4 linked regions of the Drosophila melanogaster genome follow. The protein of the gene in region 4 interacts with the protein of the main gene of each other region in a pairwise test. Each region holds a gene or a part of one and is shown on either strand. Other genes may lie near its edges. The genes, in order: scrt, CG16863, ewg and sob.

Region 1 (4,762 bases), on a different chromosome or scaffold from region 4:
CGCACTCAGATCCAGGATAGCATGTGCCGCATGCAGGTCCTCCTCCGCCGGTACCCTTCTTCGATAGCCGTGCGCCGGCTTGTCGTCCAAGGAATACGGCCTGTAGATGTCCTTCTTCTTCGGCGGCAGCGACAGTGTGGCTCCCGTACTGCTGAAGCACTTCCTTTCACTGGAGGTCTGTCCACTCGAGAGCGGACTGTACCGATCGCCGGCGCCGCTGGGCGAACAAGAGGGTGATGACGTGGTGGACGAGGGCGGCGTTTGGTAGGCGGCCAGGTGCTGATCTCCACTTCCGTTTCCGGATGTCCTGGCTGCCACCAGAGCTGTAGCCGCGGCACGGATCACGGTTATCTCGCTCTCCATGCGGGGCAGGTACGCGGTGTAGTGCAGCGGCGAAAGTTCGCGGGTGTAGCCTGTAAAAAGCAGAAAAAATTAAATCATGGGTTAAGTTTTATTCAGCAGCATTTATCATGGTTCCTGAAGTATGCTACACTTTTTTCTTTTGAAATAAGAGTTTCAGTCATTGTAATGTTTTTGTGCCGGAAAATATACTTAATGTAGTCGGATGTAGAGTATATGATTCGCTTAAACTTCCTAGACATGCACTTATAATTTCTTTGTGATTATAATTTTTCCGTTTCCTTTTCTTTATAAGCTGCCAAAACATTTACCCTCTGCCATTCTTAAGATATTTTCTTTAACAAACTTTAAACAATAGCTTTCATTTAAATATGAAGGACTGACACATGCGTATAATTTCTTTTAACCAAGGGCAAACTTTAAAAGGTCAACATAAATATCAAAGACCACGCCTGGAGTTGTGCTAAGATAACTATTTTGTATGTGCTGGAAAATATTATGTTTGCTCAAAGGATTTTCTCCGCAAAATAAGAACTTTGGCGAAGTAGAAAAGTACACAGAAGAGCAACAGCTCACAGCTAAAAAATGGGTTAGTGCAATTACTTTAAATCTGTTTCGTAGTAAGTTATTTTTAGCTTTTAAAGCCTAAACCTATAGAAAGGATGTCTATTGTGAGTGGTTTTTAGGTCTGCCTTGCTTCTAATTTCCACTGAATAATTAATTTCGCAATTGTACGTGGAAAACAGTGACAGGCACACATTCAACAAAAAGGACGAAGGCAAACGGTTTAATTTTGGCCTGTACCATTGTTTTCACGCCAAAGGGAATGGAAACCGAGCTGGAAGTTGGCAGTAGGAAGTCGGCGAGGGTCTGTGCGTTCTGCGTTTTGTGGCCCGCTGGCCGGAATTGCAAACAATATTGAGTGACAACAAAGGCAATTAAATTGATTCGGAATTGTTTCGCAATCGCACAATGGCCACATCAATGACAGCGATTACGTGCGCCCCATCTCGATTTCCACCACCCCCGCCTCACTGGCTGGAGCAGTGTTTTCCGATTTCCCGACTTTCCCGAGGGCTAACTTACCGTTGTAAACATTGCCGGCCACTCGCGTCGCCGCCTCCGGCGAATGGGGAGGCGGACTTGGAGCCGTGGTGCCCGCCGTGGGTGAACTGGGTCCCCAGCACTTGGACGTCGTCGTCGTCGCCGATGCCTCCATGTTGCTGCTGTTGCTGCTGTGCGATGTTGCTGCTTCGGATGATGTTGCTGCTGCTGCGGCAGCATCTGCTGTTGTGCGTTGCTTCTCCAATTTGATCAGGAATTTGTCGCCCACCACATCGATCTCCTCGTCGTCGTCCAGGGTGGAGCGTCTGGACTTGAGATGCAGCTCCTCCAGTTCGCGAGGCGAGTTGGGGGCACTCTGCTCCTGCTGCTGTTGCTGGTTGCTAGTATCCTCCGTCCGATCCAGCCAGGGATAGGCCTTCCACTTCTTGGCTATCAGGCAGCGCGGCATTTTCTGTGTTTTTTTTTTTCTTTGTAGATTAGAGGTTTTGGAGTTGGAGTTGGAGTTTTGGCTAGGAGCTTGATCAGGATCCAGTTAGTAGATCTTAGAGGGCTAAGTGCTGAAGCTAGTGTCGAGTTTCGAGCGAGCAAAGACCGTCTCAGGGGGTATTATTTGTGGCAAAAGCGGAAAGGAAACGTTGCTGTTGTTATCTCGCATGGGAAAATATATATATTAATATATATATATATATATATATATATTGTATATAGAGTTTGGCTCGCCGAAAGATCTCTTAAAGTTTTAGTCGTACAGCTTGTTGAATTTCAGGCCTGGCATTTCTGCCGTGTCTCGTGTGTCTGTCTGTGTGTGTGGAGTGGAGTGGTGTGGTCTGGTGCGTTTCGGTTAAATATTCTTAGTAATTTGCATTTTATTGTAAATTGGTTTGGTTTTTAGTTAGGATTCCTCGGGTTTCACAGCCACTTCACACATTTCGGCGCTTGATTCGTTGTCAGACCCGTATCCGTCATTTGGGCTGGAGTTTCGAGTCGCTCTCTCTGCTCTGTTCTGCTCTGCTTTACTTTGCTTTGCTTTGCTTTTCTTGTATTTTTTTTTTTCTTTTTGGGCCGGAGTTTTTGCGTTTTTGGCCAGGGCCACCGATTTTTGGTCAGTTCCCCCCGTTCAATCCCCTCGCTCCACGAAACACACACGGACACGTTCGCGTTCAGTTGGCTGGCTGCGTGTGGCTTATCGATTTTTACATTTACATTTGCGTTTACGTTCACGTTTGTTTTCAACACGGAATTGAACTCAAAACATAACGGGGGGACGATTTTTGAACGAATCTTTGGGGTATCCTTTCAACTCTTTTTGGGCTGGCAATTTTCTCCTCGGGTTTTTGGAAAACAAAACTTTGTCAATGGCCGTCGAGACGAAAATAAATGTTTTGGTTTGCAGTTTCAGTTTAAAAACGGAAAGTTGACAGATTGGTAGTGGTAGAGTTGTAGTTTGTTGTTTTTGAGAAAGTTAAGGTTGACGCGAGTTGAGAATAGTTGAGTTGTTATTATTGTTGTTGTTGTTGGTAGTGAAAAAATTGATTTAGGAGAAAATATAATATTATATAAGATAGAGAAGAAATGCGAACGAACCGAACGTAAGCAACTCTTGAATGCTTATGAGAGTCTTGCGGCCCGAGAGCCCGCTTATAAGGGTGGTCCACCCCCAGCATAACGACAGCCAGCCGAACCGCGTCGCCTTGCAGCCGAAACGAGCCGAAGGGAAGAGCGAGAGCACTGGAGCGCCAGAGAGCGGAACGCTGAGAGCGGCACAGCCCCTAAGTTCCAACCCCCAGAAAGGAAGCGCATAGCTGTTGCTATTGCTGTTGCTCGTCCTGTGGGCTGGTACACACGATGGAATATGCTCAAGAAACCTAAATCACTGAAATAACATAAGGTAATAGCGGCCAAAAGAATAAAACATAACTTAGTGCTGGCCTTCATGCCTAAAATACCAGTGAAACCCTTAAAAACAAAGAGTTTTCTAACATATCTTCTAAGAAATCGCATCGTGTGCCAGCGCCCTAGAGCAAAGGCAACAATCAGGAAGTGTTTCATTGCCAAAACATTCCCCGCTGTTGCTTTCTCCCGATTTCAAAATTGTTGCGCCTCTCTCTTTCCATTTCCCCACCTTCTCCCACTCGGTCTCTTTCTTTCGACGTGGAGGCACCGGACCCCCAGCCATACCTGAGAATTGGCTCATGGCTCTTTGGCCCTTTTGGAACTTTTTCGGCTTGGGGCTCGCGGCTCTTGCCTCTTGGCTCTTGGCCGCCTGAGGCTCCCATTCACGATACACGGGGTGGATTTTGCGCCCAGAATGTGGCAGTTGTGCCGAGTTAATTGCTGTTGCATTGCATTTGTTGCTGGCTCTGATTTTGAACAAATTGCCAGCGACGGGATGGCCAAAGGGGGGTGTACGCTACTTTCCCGTAAACATATATACTATGCTGGTTGGGGTAACGGGTTGAGGGGATGCAACAGTCGCTGGTCCTTGGCCCTAACTCAGTTAGTACAAGATAAACAGCACAAACTAACTTCTGTCGCCCTCGTCTCTCTGCACTGACGGCTCTCCACTGGCCATGAATAAGTGGTTTACTTTTCAGATCACAGAGGTCGGATATGAGTGCGGCAACTCAAATCGTTGGATGATTAATTGCAGCTCCTGCCGAGTTGGGTTTGATTGACAGCTGGATGTGTCATATGCCACACTCCCAGTATGAAATGAACACGATTTTGGGATGGATTTCCAGGGTTTTTTGATGCCCGCAAAGGGGTCCAGCTATGTGAAGTCTATAGCAATATTTATATTTGTAAAAACATTTGTTTGGCTATTAATTGAACCTATTAGAACTAGAATCATTATCTAGAGATAACTCGTAACATACTACTTTAAAATGTAGTACTAACCTTACTTCGATTAAAGTAAAAACCTTAGAGAATCCTTGAAATGCTTTCAAACAATGCGTTCAAGATGACCCACCATAAAATCCCTAGAACATCTTGAGAAGCGACTTACTTACATATACAATCTGTTCGCATTCCCAGTCAGTGCAACACACACAAAACTAATTAATTAAAGTGGAGCTTCGGTTAGCTGAACGGGGAGCTCGGGCTTTGCATAATCAGACACTTAAATTACAAAGTTCTTAACCTTTTAATTAGCCAGCGACAACAGACAATTTGTCTGCCTCAGACGAGCTTAGCGTCGCTTCTGCAGCGGCTGCAGTCCTTAAAAATTATATATACTTTTCATTGGAATTTTCATTCGGTTTACTATGGTATCCCCCGGGGTCCTTCGTTGAACCCACTTCCTGTGCCCCACTCGAAACAGATGCAACCTTTTTTC
Region 2 (4,570 bases), about 10 Mb from region 4:
TCGGATTTCCCTCTGCCCACCGCTTCCGGAAACAACAGCCACGCAACTTTCGCCTGCTGCCTTCTGGGTGCTCCGCCAGCTGTGCGGAGTGCTCCTCTCGGTTGGATTGTCGTGTGGCGGCACTCGGTGAGTTTTTAGCGTGTCGTGGATGTTTGCATGTTGCAAATCTCTCAGTTTTTCCACATTTACATTCCCTTCAAAATACGAAAAAACGTCATCAGAAGTGTGACCGTGTAAGCGAAAATTACTGAGCTGTCGGCAGTGTTGGGAAGTTTTTGGTATTCTCTCGGTTTTGGTATTTTTGCTAATTTGCTGGTGTTATTGTTATTTGAATTTGTAACGGCGATTTGTGATAACAAAAGAAAAAAGTAAACAATAAAGTTATATTTAAAATAAATTATTTGTGTAAATATGTGTAGTAAATAGTACTTACAAATCTTTAATGAATATGTGTTCGTTATTCGTTCCCTACCTCTAATTTTCTAATACAAAAATAGTTCCTTAACGCTTGAGAAGCTAAAAAGTTAAAAAATGTATTTTATAGTTCGCATTATTGTAAATGTAAATTAATAAATTAGTTAATAAAAGGGGTACAAAAACACAGTGCTCAACTTAGGTTTGGATTGATTATGGACTACGCTATAACTGCCACTCCTTCGTTGGAATTTCCGCCATGAAGAGTATGTTTTCCATGTTGTTTTCGATTAGTCTGGCGTACTGCGCCGCAACCGCCGCTCCTTCGGCCGTAAATAGCCGATCCGCCGGCTCTGCGGTGGCCGGAACGTGCAGGTACCTCTGTGCTACGTTGTGCAGGAAGGGGTGAGCTTCGGCCAGTTCCTCCCAGAGCTGAAAGGGATCGGCTCGCAGGGTACTCATGCCGGCGCAAAAGTATCTGGCTATCTCATCGTCCGCCTCGGGACCGTTGCTGCCGTTTACAATCCTTTGCTTCCCATGCGAAAAGGATTTGAATGCCGCCCAGATATCGTAGTGATCACGGTTCTCCGGATGCTTTGCAACAGCTTGCTCCCCGCTGTCCACATGCGCCTGCATCATGTCATAGAGTTGAGTCATGTACTGGGCCACCAGGGCCCCACTCCGGAAGGGAATATTTCGAAAGCGTGGGTCCAGCAGACTTGCCAATGCCAGGTGCAAGTTGCGCTCCATTCGTTCGAAGATCTCCTCCAGCTGCTGAACCAGGAACAAGCGTATTTCCCTGGCAACCATGTGTTCCGCACTCTTCTCCTGCTTCAGTTCGTTGATCAGAGTTTGGGCAATGGGCAGGGCTGTGCTGGCCGCCGGATATGGTGTTCGACTTAGCTCACGCATGGAGCTGGTCAACGGCCTCAGCACGTCCAGCAATTGCTGACACAAATCCACCTCCGATGTCGAAAGCGGCAGCGGCTCTTGAACGAGAGTCTGTTTCAGGTATAAGTCTAGCATATTGTACACACTAATCGGTCGGTGTATGGAATCCAGTTGGGGATTCAGCTGCAATGTGGACTGCACATGGGAACGCACCTTGTCGCGCAAATGACGTATTTCTGGGCGCTGCACCACCTCCTCTAAAATAGAATTCAATTGGTCTGCGAAGCAGGGAACATGATGATGAGCGCCCATGAACGATGTCACCGCATCCTCCAGTAGTTGACTGCTCCTTGTCGACACGCAGCAGATCCTTGACTTTGGAATGTCGAAGCGCTGACACACTTGGTCCATGCGATCCACCAGATCGTTGGAGGTGAAAAGATCGGGAAGGCGCAGCACAGAAAGAGTTCGGGAGATTCGTTGCCGCCCCTCGTGAAAGTGGGCCACCAGCTCCATCCAGCTTCGACTCTCCGCATTCGTGTGCACCGAGCAACTTAGGCTGAGTGTCGAGATGTCGGCCAACTGCTGGCAGAGCTTGGACCTCTGCGCTTCCGACTCCCTGCAGATAATGGCCTCCAGTTTCGCCGCACTCGGTGGTCTGTAGGTGGGGCACAGTACTTTCACTAGGTGCTGGAATCCCTCGCCCTGCACAATCTGCAATGACTGGCGGTCACGGCAGACAAAGAAGGCAATGTCCTTGTGAAACGGACTCTCGCTCGGCAGAGGTTCTTCCATTTTTAAGTTGCTGGGTAATAAATGAAGTTTACTACAATTGTATCTATCTTCTACCTTCTATCTTTTGATTAAAACTTACTCATGGCCGGCAAATGGTACAGCATGAATTTGGGGAAGTGGGCTTTTCTCCGACTCATCGAGCTCCTCCTTGGGTTCGAATTCGATGATATCGTCGCCGCCAACCGTCTCCGTTCGGGACACTGTGGCCTCCGGAGAGACCCACGCATACCCGACGCTCTTTGTTGAGATGCGATCCTCAGCAGCCGCCTTGATCATTCCTTGATCATCCAGCTCGATAATGCCGCTCGCATCCTTGGCAGCCTTGAACAACAGCTCGCTGTGGAAATCAGAGCTCTCTTCCTTGAAGGGAACAACCTTCCGGAATCGCAGCTTGTCATCCTGCTCCCGCCGCTTGTATATGCCCCGCTCCACCACCACATCGTCGTCGAAGAGGTTTCTTCAAGAAAATTTTCATTGTGAAAGGTTTTTGAACTCAGGAGCCTTTCCTACATCTGCGGATGGGTCTTCATGTGCTTCATCAGATTGGACGTGTTGCCGCTTGTCTTGATTACTTTCTCGCAGAGCTGGCACTGCGCGGAATTCCGATCCAACTTGTCGTAGAACTTCCATATTCTGCTACGCGACATATTCGGCATAAACGATAAATTAACGACGAAAAAAATGAATATTTTGTAAATAACGCTACATTAGTGTGGCCAAGTGGGAGATTTTTTGAGAATTTGACATTTCCATTAGCGCCTAAGTCGTCCAAGTAATAATAGTTTTATATTTATTTTTCTCATAATTAAATATTCAATAGTCAAGCTGGATAAAAAAATTACATTATGTATTACTTTTAATTCTTGAATGAATCGTTAAATTCCAAATATAGATCGTTTAAAGTTCCTTTTGGTATTATTATGAGTGGTATTTTAAAAATACTAAGGCGGGAGATTTTAAATTAAAAAAAAAAAAAAACGGGAGAATGCTATAGTCGAGTTCCCCGTCAATCAGATACCTGTTCCTCTACCAATAGAAGGGTATAAAACTGTTTTTAACTTCTTTTGAATTATGATAATTTACCTTAATCCCATAATCAATGCACATCAAATATTATGTAGAAATATTTATTATAATATAAATAAAAAATATTATTTATTTGTCGTACTAGTTATATCTTACTTTTATATTTTAGTTTTATATACCCATGTCGAAGGTGTTTGTTTGGTTTTATTAGTCCCTAAATACATTAAGTAGATTATTCCCACCGGATAGAGATTCATAAAAGTTCCATATTTGAGGGAAATAATGAAATGTACGACGCCCGTCTTCTGCTTATCTTACTTGATACTCCGACACTCCGACTATCTGGCCTAAACGTAGCTGCATTCCGGCCTGCGTTGCACGGAGGTTTGACGTGACGTCGATTGTGATTTCGCCTCTCTCTCGAACTTGAGGAAAATATCCTCGAGTGTGCACTCGTTCACCGAATAGTCGGCCACGAGAGCGCTTAAGCGATCGCCCAGATATTCCTCAGCTATCTTGAAAACACTTGACCAAAGGACCACACTCTCCTGCGTGCTAACAAAGTAGGTGAGTGTGCCGGCATGGCTCTCGCGCAGTTCCAGACCAGGAAACTCTGACTTCAACGTGCCAGTGATCGTGGACACATTCATCTCCGTTTCGGTGTCCGCCTTCATTTTCAGTTTTATCGTGAAGCCGCTTAATCGCTTAAGGGCGCAAATATTGTTCAGACACTTGAACTTTCCGTGCGCCATGATGGCCAAGCGATTGCACAGCTCTTCGCACTCGTCCATGCTGTTTGTAGAGAATGTGTACACTTTTGAATCTGTTTGAAAAGGAAATATACTTTTTTGGGCTTACCTATGTGATGTGAGCACCACTGTTCGATCCTTTCCCTGGAAATCCTTGATGCATTGCCAAAGAAATCGTCTCGAGATGGGATCCACACCGGTGGTAGGTTCGTCCAGGAGCACCAGTGCGGGTGCACCAATCATGGCCATTGCCGCCAGAAGCTTGCGTTTCGTGCCGCCCGAATAGTGGCGCACTTGCACCTTTTGATATTTGGTCAAATGCATCTTCTCTAGCCAGTACTTCACGTGCTCCTTGCAGCTGGCTGGTCCATCGGTCCTTCGGCGGCTCAGGCCGCGCAGCAATGCCATGTAGTATAGGCACTGCTCGGCGGTCATGAATTTATTTAGTGCATCGTACTGAGGGCAGTAGCCAAAGTATTCCCGGTATTTCAACTCATGCTCGCGAATGTCTGCGCCTTTGATGCGGATAGTGCCACCATCTAGAGGCAAATTGGCCGCTATCATCTGAAAGGTACTTGTCTTACCCGCTCCGTTAACACCCAACAGACCAAAGCATTCACCCTGGGCAGCCGCAAAGCTGACTCCGTCCACAGCCAGCTTATCGCCGTATCGCTTGCGAAGATTGTGCACAATCA
Region 3 (4,675 bases), on a different chromosome or scaffold from region 4:
TAAATCCCACACCTTTCACCGCACTGAATACACACGCAAACTCGCCCAGCTCGAGGTGCACCTCACGATGAAACTATCTTATGCAGTGTTTTTATTTATTTTCCTTGGATCTTTTTTAAACTACCACGCATGCACTACTCGAACTACCCAATCACCCCCGCGAAACAATGCAGTGGGAACACCACCAACTCCCACGTCCTTATAGGGGATGTGAGCACGACCCACTTGCGCGTGCCACACATATATCGAGAAAAGTGGCCCAGCAAAAGTGAGCACACTTCTAAACCTTGATTGTAATCAAAATAGGCATCTGATGATGAGAGAAAGGGGAAAAGAGTAGAGAGAGTATATGTTCACCCCCTAAGACACATACATATATACATTCTTATCCGGATTCTGAAAAAGGTGGGTGATGAAATTGTGTGAAGGAACCTAAAGTATTGCCAAATTAAAAAGCTCTGCGTTTGTTGGATGTAGTCTTCAGGTTTTCTTTCTAATTATAGAAGTAGGCCATTTTAGAGTCCTTTAAGATTTAAGGCCTACACAGTGATGCCCACAGGTTGCAGTAAGCGCAACTAAACTTTGTGTCGGAAGTTAGCAACACTGTAAAGAAGGCATTTGCGATGTATACTATTCTTGATCAGTGTCAACACCACAGGCGACAAAGCCACGTCCGTCTATACGTGTCTACGAAAATTATTCTCTTAGTTTTAATGTTATATGCTTGCACCTTTTCCAAGAGTATTCTTTGTCTTGCACATGGTATATTATTCGGTACGGAATAATAAAAAAAAAAATAATTTAAAAAAGTGTAGCATCGTTGTTTTAACATCTGTACATATATATACATAAGTATATATATATATATATACATATATACACTTCAATATATTTCGGTTGTAATTGCATCGAGAAGTCGAAAAGTCACAGGGAAATTGAGGAAAAAGAATCCTAGTTTGTTTTTATATTTCGCACAAAGCGTATACTCGTAAAAGCCGTTTTTGACATCATAATTTCGGTTTCAATTTGATCAAAATATTAGAAAAGAAATTATACTCTTGTTGTATCCGATCATAAATTCTTCTTATTCGGTGTTTTCTCAATTTACTATTTAATGTAAGCGTATGTGTGCTTTCGCGTTTTATATGTATTCTTAAGGCAATTTTTAGTATTCGTGAATATTTCATTATTTTTGAATATTTAAATTCTTTAACCCCAGCTTCCGTAAACTCCAAAAAGTTACTGCCGTTTACATCGAAGTATCGTTTATTCTATCTATACATATATAGGAAAATTAAAAATACCTTAAGACACTTTTTTATAATTTTAAGCATGCAAGACTAACAGCCGCAATAATTACCAAATTATGATAAGACAATTTGTTATGTTCTGCAAAGAATTGACCCCACCGTGTTTTTTTACTTTCCCTTTCCCACAATCGAATTTTCTTGGTACTGCTGTTTCTCTCTCTCCCTCTCTTAATTTCCCACCATACTCTTTTTTCTGTGCTGGACAGCACAGCTCTACAAAAATGAAATGATAACAGCGAAAATACAAACGAGAGGCAAGTTACGCATGCGAAGGTTGTCGCGGCAGTGGAGTCGGCGCAAAGACCACCACTGTTCATAGCAATGCAGTGACAGAAATATACATATGTATGTACATATACAACCAACAGTAAGAGTTCGTAGGAGTTTATAGTCGGGGAAACAGGAAAATACCAGCAAAAATGTAATCTTCTTGTTATGTCTAAATTTTTATATTTGTTTGAGCTATTAAATGTTCTTGACTATCTTAAACTCATCTCGAGTAGAAACTATTTTTGTTAGGCATGTGTTTAAATCGGCCATAAAATAAATAAAATACTCTTATTCCTTAGATTTAAAAGATGTAACAAATATAATCTGTAATTGTAGGCTGGCCGTTGCCCTGTTCCAATTGGAACTGTACTTTTATAGCCCACCCCAATACAACCTATAACAGTGGCGTCCTTCACTATTGGAACTGGAAAAACCCAATGAAGGTTGCTGTGAGCTAGCCATCCCGCTCTGTTTATCCATGTGTGTATCTACAAATTTTTCGTCTCTAGGGGGTGGTTTGGGTGTTTTTCGCAACCCCAAAAACGTCAGAATCACACAGACACAGATGCATCAAAAACACGCATACCTTCCAATGCAAATGGGAAATGCGTGTGCTGTCGTGCACACAATTGGAAGTGATACCTGTTTGGCGTTTCTATTCTACAACCCTACTTTACACATCATCCTTCCTATCGGAGTTTCCTGTCTTTGTTTTAACTTTTAGCTGAGGCGCATGGTTAAGTTACGGACACTCGCAGTTGGATTTTCATTTACGGCGCCGATGTAACGGTAACACAAGCTAAATACACCAGCACACATATATGATAACCTAATACACACACACAAGCCAGCAAGAACCGTTAGCTCAGAAACTCCGAAACTTTTGGGCATTCACTTATGCCACTACAAATCTCTATATACACATATAAATTATAGACTGTCACAGTGGAAAATCGGAAAATTTGTTGACCCCTACCACTAGTTTACACCCACATACGCACCTGTGTATTTTTGTTGTTTTTCCAGCTCCTTTATGATAACACACATACACACTCACAAAGAAAAAAAAGGCGCACGCACACGAACGCGCCGCCGCTATTGTGCATTGGTGTGTTTGCCCCTGCGCCGAAAATTTTCTTTGGCGTTTATTTATTATCACACTGCACATGCGAATATTCCGTGCATTTTACATTTGCGCACTGCCGTTTCTAGGTTGTAGCTCCAAAATTTCCCGCTCGCAAAGTTTCGCTGTTTTCCCTCACGATGCTTTTCCGTTAGCTTAGTTTTCAGCTGCCTGTCCCAGCACTTTTCCCCAAGTTTCGACGCAATTTTGCGATTTAATTTAGCCGAGGAATGGTATTTAGTACATGACAAATATCGATATACAGCACGCGTGATTTTTTCAGACGTCGATAATGTACACGCAATACATATCGCAGTCGAAGGAAAGCGGTCACTCTAAAATGCATAGGAGAAACGAGGATTGGCGGTCCCACTAATTGTGCTATTTAAGTTTAAATTCAAGTCCCCCTAGCGGACTTATATTAGTTGAAAAATTGATTGTATATTTTTGAGTAAGCATATAATAATCCATAAATATAATAATATAATAATAATTTTTGATATAAGAAATTTAAGTTTTCTGGTGCCAAAAAGATTTTAGTCTTTCTATGCAGGGAAAATTTGTTCCCTGGGCTTGCCACGTCCTCTATTACACTCACATATTTATAATAGTTTCATATTTATTTAGTTTGTTATTTTTTAGAAGAGTTTTTAAATTTCTCTCTAGCACTCCACCATCTCCGTATCTGATAAGAGACAGTTTATTAGTAGCTTTTTTTAAAGGTTTATATTATGAACGCTACAAAGAATATACAACATTTGATCCACGAATTAATCAGATGTAGTTATTAATGTAACAAAACTTTTAGGATACCCCAAAATAATGGTAAATTTTAAACAGTCGAAAAATTTATTATTCGGGAGTCGAACTGCAATTACACGTAAGCCCTTCACAAGGCAGCTAGCAATATTTAAAAAGGAGTAAGCTAGCCAGGCCAAATGAAAAACTGACATACAATCAACTTCGTATTTCACACGCGGGAAATTTAACAAAAAATAAAAAACAAAAAAATAGTTTAGGGATATGAAATCCTGAAGGATTGGTAAACTAGAACGACCGAAGACGACTAACTGCTTGCCACCAAAAATGTTGGGTTTTTATGTCCGTCGTCGGCACTCACACAATAAAATTCATTATTAGGATGTATATAGTGATAAAAGGAATTGTTTTTTTTTAACACAGATTGCCCGTATGTAAAAACCAAAGAATTCATATTATATAAAAAGAAACCACAAGTTGCTTATCGCTGTGAAATGAGGCTGGTAGTGCGCTTGCACTATGGGGAATTTAACATGTTTTATTGGCATAAATTAATATCTCGTAAACTATTTAAGATACGATGAATTTAGAATTATTTTGGCAAAGTGGGTGCCCCGCCCACTCCCATAAAATTTTTTTTTTAAATCAATATATTCTATCTAATCCACCAATGTATTGGAGTTACACCATGTTTTAGATTGTCCACAATCGGTACAAACTTAAGTCTCTTAACATTTTTATTGATAAAAAAATCTTTCAGAGTCGCATTTCGTACACTTCTATCAGGGCCGCATTGCTGATTGCTACCTAAAAATGTAATCTTCGCGAAAAGTCACAATAAGTAGCATTCGCAAAAGTCGCGTTAACCGTATGTGTTCTAAGTAGGTAATTAATCACTCTAAAACATTGACTAACACACATATCAAAAATTTTTTGAAACTCAATTAATTTTCGTAAGCACTAAAAAAGAAGGTCATCGATGGCACGTGGTTTTTAACATTGATTAATTTACATTTGCGTTACATAACTTAAGCCTTGATCTTAATCCGTTAAGAAAAAAGTGTTCAACAATTGAAACATTTTTAAAAACACATTTATGCCAAAAAACGAATCAAATTCCCCATAGTGGCTTTGGATTTATCTGAAACTTGGCCCTACTTATTCCTTATCGGCAATTCTTCCGGAATTCTACACGAACTGGCCTTATCGGTTC
Region 4 (4,932 bases):
TCCTCGCGACGATCATCATCATCCGTAAGCCGGCCACTAAGCGACATAATTGCTACCGTGGGACTGAGGATCTCTGGTCTCCAGACTCCAGACTCCCGGATCATTAAATGCCGCGATCCTAATGCGCTCCAATCAAACACACACGAAACGAGCGTATGACATGTTTGTGCATTATTAATCACGATAATATCTGTATAAATGGTAGAAAACTGAGAGTCCGGTCCAAATTGCAATTTAATGCAAAAATAAATTGCACTCGGTGCTGGACTGGCTCTTTCCAGCAGTTTTTTCCTGCTTATTTCGTGGCCAACCAACCGGCAGCCGGAGAGCTGGCAGCTCCCATGATTATTGGTCATTTACTTGGGCCGTTTAGCGCATTAAGTCCGAGTTCCCCCACTGGACACTCGCGTCTGGGGGCTTTGCATAAAGAATAAGGAAATAATTGACAGTTGAAAAGTCTCAGCTATGATTGCGGCTGTGATTCGAATTGTGATTGGGTTTGCTGTGCCAGCGTATTTTTGATTCTTCTGGCAGCATTCTTCTCTCGCTCTTTCGTCTGCGATTCTGCGGCGATGAGATGGCGTGCGATGAGAATCATTTCAATCAACTGGCTGCGCTTGGGGCTGAAGAAATCAACGCGTTGACTAATGGCCACAATTTGCAAGTGCTAGCAGGTTGATGCACTCGGAAAAATCTCCACTATTGCAAATGGATTTTAAGTGTAATAATTTCCAGGAAACCATCTCAAGGTGTTTCAATCTGACCGCCAATCCAAAGCCTTTTAAGATCGTTAATATTTAATAGATTAGACCATTGTTCCATATTCCTTACTAGGAACTCCACGGTTTCCTTAGATGTCTAGAAAACATCTGGCTTGTAATTCCTTATCAGGCGATCGCAATCCTTTTATGGCCGCCGATCACATTTGATTTTAGTGAATTAAGGGATGTTCGCTTAAAGTTTTCTTCCCTCTATACAATGTTTTCTTGATATAGTAATAAATTATTCGTATGAATAACTTGTAAAAATAGCTATAATATGAGATTTCTTCTTATTGGCAAGTTCATAATGTAAGCTGCATCTGTTACTTGTGCCTAAATCTATATTTAAAACCTTTAATTATCCGTCAAAATTCTTCAGTTTCCAAGGTTAAAAGTACTTAGCAAAGCTTGCGAAATTTCCTAGAAAGAATCATAAACAACTACTTGCAAAAATTATATAAATAAACGAATATTATCAGACAAGAGGGAGCTGGCACGATGGGCGAGAAAGAGATGGCACGACCAGGAGGGAAAGAGAGGGTGGGCAAAACACCCACTCAAAATCAAAATCAAAATCAGGCATATTAACCACAGAAACCGGTTCTCTCTTTCTCACCTTGCACGCGCTCTCGCTCTACCTCTGATTTAAATGCGCGTGTGTGGGTGAGAGCGGGAGTAAAGGTGCTCAGAATACACAGACAAAACGAGTTTGCACCTGGCCAACCTGAATTTCTCCCGCTCTCCGCTCGCTCTTTTCGTGGGTGATCTTGTGGGCCACGCTCTCATCCGCTCTCGCAGGGAGCGATCGCCAATGGCGAGAGAGATGTGGCGATCAACAAGTGAGCGCAGGTCCGCGATATGTCCGCAGAGCAATGGACTTTTAGTTATTCCGTGATCTTTTACCAATATTGTGTGCAGCGACGGCTGATCGACGTCAAGAGAAGAAGAAGAACTGGCAGAATCAGAGAAAATAAACAATATTATATATACGTACATATATATATACATAGCTCAACACGTGTATGTGTCTGTGTTGGCTAAGACCGGAAGTTGCATTAAACGGAAGTTAACTAATAGTAACTGCACATAATTTTAAAGATCGATTGTACCCAAATTGTTCGCGTGTGCTAGCCAGAAGAACTACCATATTATTTCAGTCGAAAAAATCGAAAAAGCGTGCCTGCCAATTTGACTTAACTTGGCTGAGACTGCACTTTGTTGTTTTCGTTTTTGGCCAGACGTCAAATTCGATTTTTATGACTTTTGAAAGCGTGACTAAGACGTGATTTATGATGGCGTGTGGTTTTTAATATTCATGTGGACGCGCTCCGAACCTCTCAACCTGCGTAGGTGCGCCAAACAATAAAAAATACAAAAAATCACCACGGCAACCAGCAACACAGCAACATCGCTGGCCCGAGGCTTTATCCCGATATCCAGCTGAGTGTGTGCGTGGATTCGACTTTTTTATGGAGGCAGTTAAGCATTTGAGTGCCGCTGCTGCTGCTGCAGCTGCAGCTGCAACTTGCAGCGATTCGCCGGCCAAGGCAGCAGCCTCACCGGCAGCAAGCAGCGATATTGCCGAGGCGCTTGGAGAACTCAAGGCAAGCGCAACAGCAGCAGCATCATCAGCTAGCAAGGCAGCAACATCGAAGCACCACAGCAACAACAACCACAAGCCAAGTGCCGCAGCAACAGCCACAGCAGCGCACAAGAAAAGCGAGAGTTGCAACAGCAACGGCAACAAGTGCACCGCTGCAACATCGCCGATCGGCAGTAAGACCAGCAACGCAGCCATGGCAGCTGCAACAGCAACGGCGGCCGCAGCAACCAACGATCTTGCAGCGGCTGCTGCGGTCGTTCTTTCGCTGCAAGGAACCATGGTCAGCAGTTTGCAGCAGGCCGCCCTACTGCCGGCCAATTCGGCGGCAGCAGCAGCTCTTAATCTCCAGGCCCTGGAATCCTATTTGGCGCTGCAGCGACTAACCGGGAAATCGGATGTATTTCGCTTTTCCAACAGCAACACCGGCAGCAGCAACAGCAACAACGCCACCACCTGCAACAGCAGCAGCAGTGAAGCGGACAACAATGCCTTACCCTCGCTCATCGATATAGCCAATATAGAGCTCAAGTCGAGCTGCTCCTCCAGCTCCTCGGGGGAACCCCCTTTGACGGCAGCGACAGCATCAGCTGCCGCCACATCCTCGCCCAGCAGCAACAACAGCAACTCCACCAGCACACCAACAACATCCAAGTGCGTGCCTCTGCCCTCCATTGGCACCGTTAGTGCTGCAGTGGCGGCTGCTGCGGCTGCCGCAGCAGCTGCTGCGAGCCAACAGGCGGCGCTGGACTGCGCAACAGCCGCAGAACTGGCAGCAGAGTGCGACTTACCGTTGCTCGATGGCGAGGATGCTCTCTCCTTCGAGGCGGGAGATTTGGACAGCAGCTATGGAAGCTTCATGTTTAATCCCTCAGCCTTCAGCCAGGCGGAAACGGACTCGGCTCTGCACTCGCTGCAGGCCACCATGTACCAGGACAAGATGAGTGTCATTTCGGGAGCGGCTGGCGGCGTAGGTGCAGGTGCGGTAGGAGGGCTGGAGGAGGCGGGCAGCTCGGCGGCGGCAGCGGCAGCCCAGCGGTCCAAGAAGCAGTTCATATGCAAATTCTGCAACCGACAGTTCACCAAGTCCTACAATCTGCTCATCCACGAAAGAACGCACACGGACGAGAGGCCTTACTCCTGCGACATCTGCGGCAAGGCCTTCAGGAGGCAGGATCATCTGAGGGATCATAGGTAGGTCAAAAATAGCGGATAAGCTACTTCATGGTATAATAAGAAATGATCCTTCTCTTGAGAATCACTCTGTCACAAAAGACTAGCATTTGGTTTCCATAAAAATCTAACCCACCATTCTCCTCATTCATTTTGGTAACCCGCAGATATATCCACTCCAAGGAGAAGCCCTTCAAGTGCGCGGAGTGCGGCAAGGGATTCTGTCAGTCCCGCACTCTGGCTGTCCACAAGATCCTGCACATGGAGGAGTCGCCGCACAAGTGCCCCGTGTGCAATCGCTCCTTCAACCAGCGTTCCAATCTGAAGACCCACCTGCTCACCCACACCGACATCAAGCCGTACAACTGCGCCTCCTGCGGGAAAGTCTTCCGGCGGAACTGCGACTTGCGACGTCACAGCCTGACGCATAACTTGTCCGCCGGAGTGGGCGGTGTGGTGGGTGGCAACCTAAGTGATCCATTTGGCTCCGGCTCCAGCTCCAGCTCGGAGTTGGGCTTGCCCACGGGCTCCGCCAGTACTGCAGCATCCTCCAGAGATTTGGTGGCCGTCAGCGATTGATCTTCCTCAGCTGATTCCTCACTCTTTGATACCCACTCAATAAAATAAAATCTCAATTGCAGCTCTCATGAATACGAATCCCTCCATTTCGTAATCGTAATCTTAGTACGACTAAACAGCATTTAGTTTAGTGTAAGTTTAGCCTTAGCTACTTTGGTTTAAGCCTTGGATATTTGTGACGTAAGCATAGCAGGAAAGTTTGACTTTGCGTAAATTAACGTTAGATATTAAGTTAAATTGTGGACTCTTAATGTACGATCGAATAAAAGACAATAGCTTAAAGGAAATTGTGCACATGGCTTTTTATTGTTGACTTGGGCTTATGGTTATAGAAAGGTTTTCTTGAGACTAAAAAGAACGTTAGTTGTATTATAATTTGAATATTCTAGAATTTTACCACGGGTATGGAGTTTGAGTTGTTTGAGTTTCCAAAGGCCTGTTGTTCATTTCAAAATTCAAGAATTTTCCAAAACGTTTTTCTCACCCTTTCTACCTTTCTACCGCTTTGATTCCACTCTTGTACTTACACTATTTACGCACTTGTAGCGAACTAAAATCAAATATTTGTACCGATGTTTATCGCTCGAGTGCCAACAAGGGCAATTAATGTAGCATTAAGGTGCACACCTTCAAACACCTCTTTCAACAAGCCTTTGACAACAAACAAAACAAGATCGACAATAGTGGGGCTAAAACAAAGAAATGCCCATATTTTCCCACCACTTCCAGGCTGTTCCACATTTCCAGTCAAATAATGTCGTACAAGCCGGTGGACAAGTGGAGCAGGCGCTATCTCATCGGGTCGAAAGGACCACCCAC

Evidence for each region.
Region 1: the proteins of sob (region 4) and scrt interact in a two-hybrid assay, tested with the Drosophila melanogaster proteins (one large-scale study listed by BioGRID).
Region 2: the proteins of sob (region 4) and CG16863 interact in a two-hybrid assay, tested with the Drosophila melanogaster proteins (one large-scale study listed by BioGRID).
Region 3: the proteins of sob (region 4) and ewg interact in a two-hybrid assay, tested with the Drosophila melanogaster proteins (one large-scale study listed by BioGRID).

The regions. Positions count from the first base shown.
Region 1 is NT_037436.4:3,982,175-3,986,936, reverse strand, and holds the start of scrt (scratch), read right to left. Parts: upstream 3,042-4,762; 5' UTR 1,874-3,041; coding exon 1,447-1,873; intron 414-1,446; coding exon 1-413.
Region 2 is NT_033779.5:13,789,205-13,793,774, reverse strand, and holds CG16863 (uncharacterized protein), read right to left. Parts: upstream 2,817-4,570; 5' UTR 2,748-2,816; coding exon 2,611-2,747; exon of another isoform or gene 2,558-2,610; coding exon 2,180-2,557; intron 2,111-2,179; coding exon 640-2,110; 3' UTR 511-639; downstream 1-510. Other genes in the region: Eato (engulfment ABC transporter in the ovary), read right to left, coding at 3,474-3,918, 3,985-4,570.
Region 3 is NC_004354.4:276,604-281,278, forward strand, and holds the start of ewg (erect wing), read right to left. Parts: upstream 3,032-4,675; 5' UTR 2,582-3,031; intron 1-2,581. UniProt on the Drosophila melanogaster protein: May function as a positive regulator of transcription in developing and differentiated neurons, regulating common aspects of neuronal differentiation and maintenance. Requirement in the CNS may be higher than in the peripheral system.
Region 4 is NT_033779.5:3,577,478-3,582,409, reverse strand, and holds sob (sister of odd and bowl), read left to right. Parts: upstream 1-1,640; 5' UTR 1,641-2,230; coding exon 2,231-3,555; intron 3,556-3,701; coding exon 3,702-4,113; 3' UTR 4,114-4,397; downstream 4,398-4,932. UniProt on the Drosophila melanogaster protein: Pair-rule protein that determines both the size and polarity of even-numbered as well as odd-numbered parasegments during embryogenesis.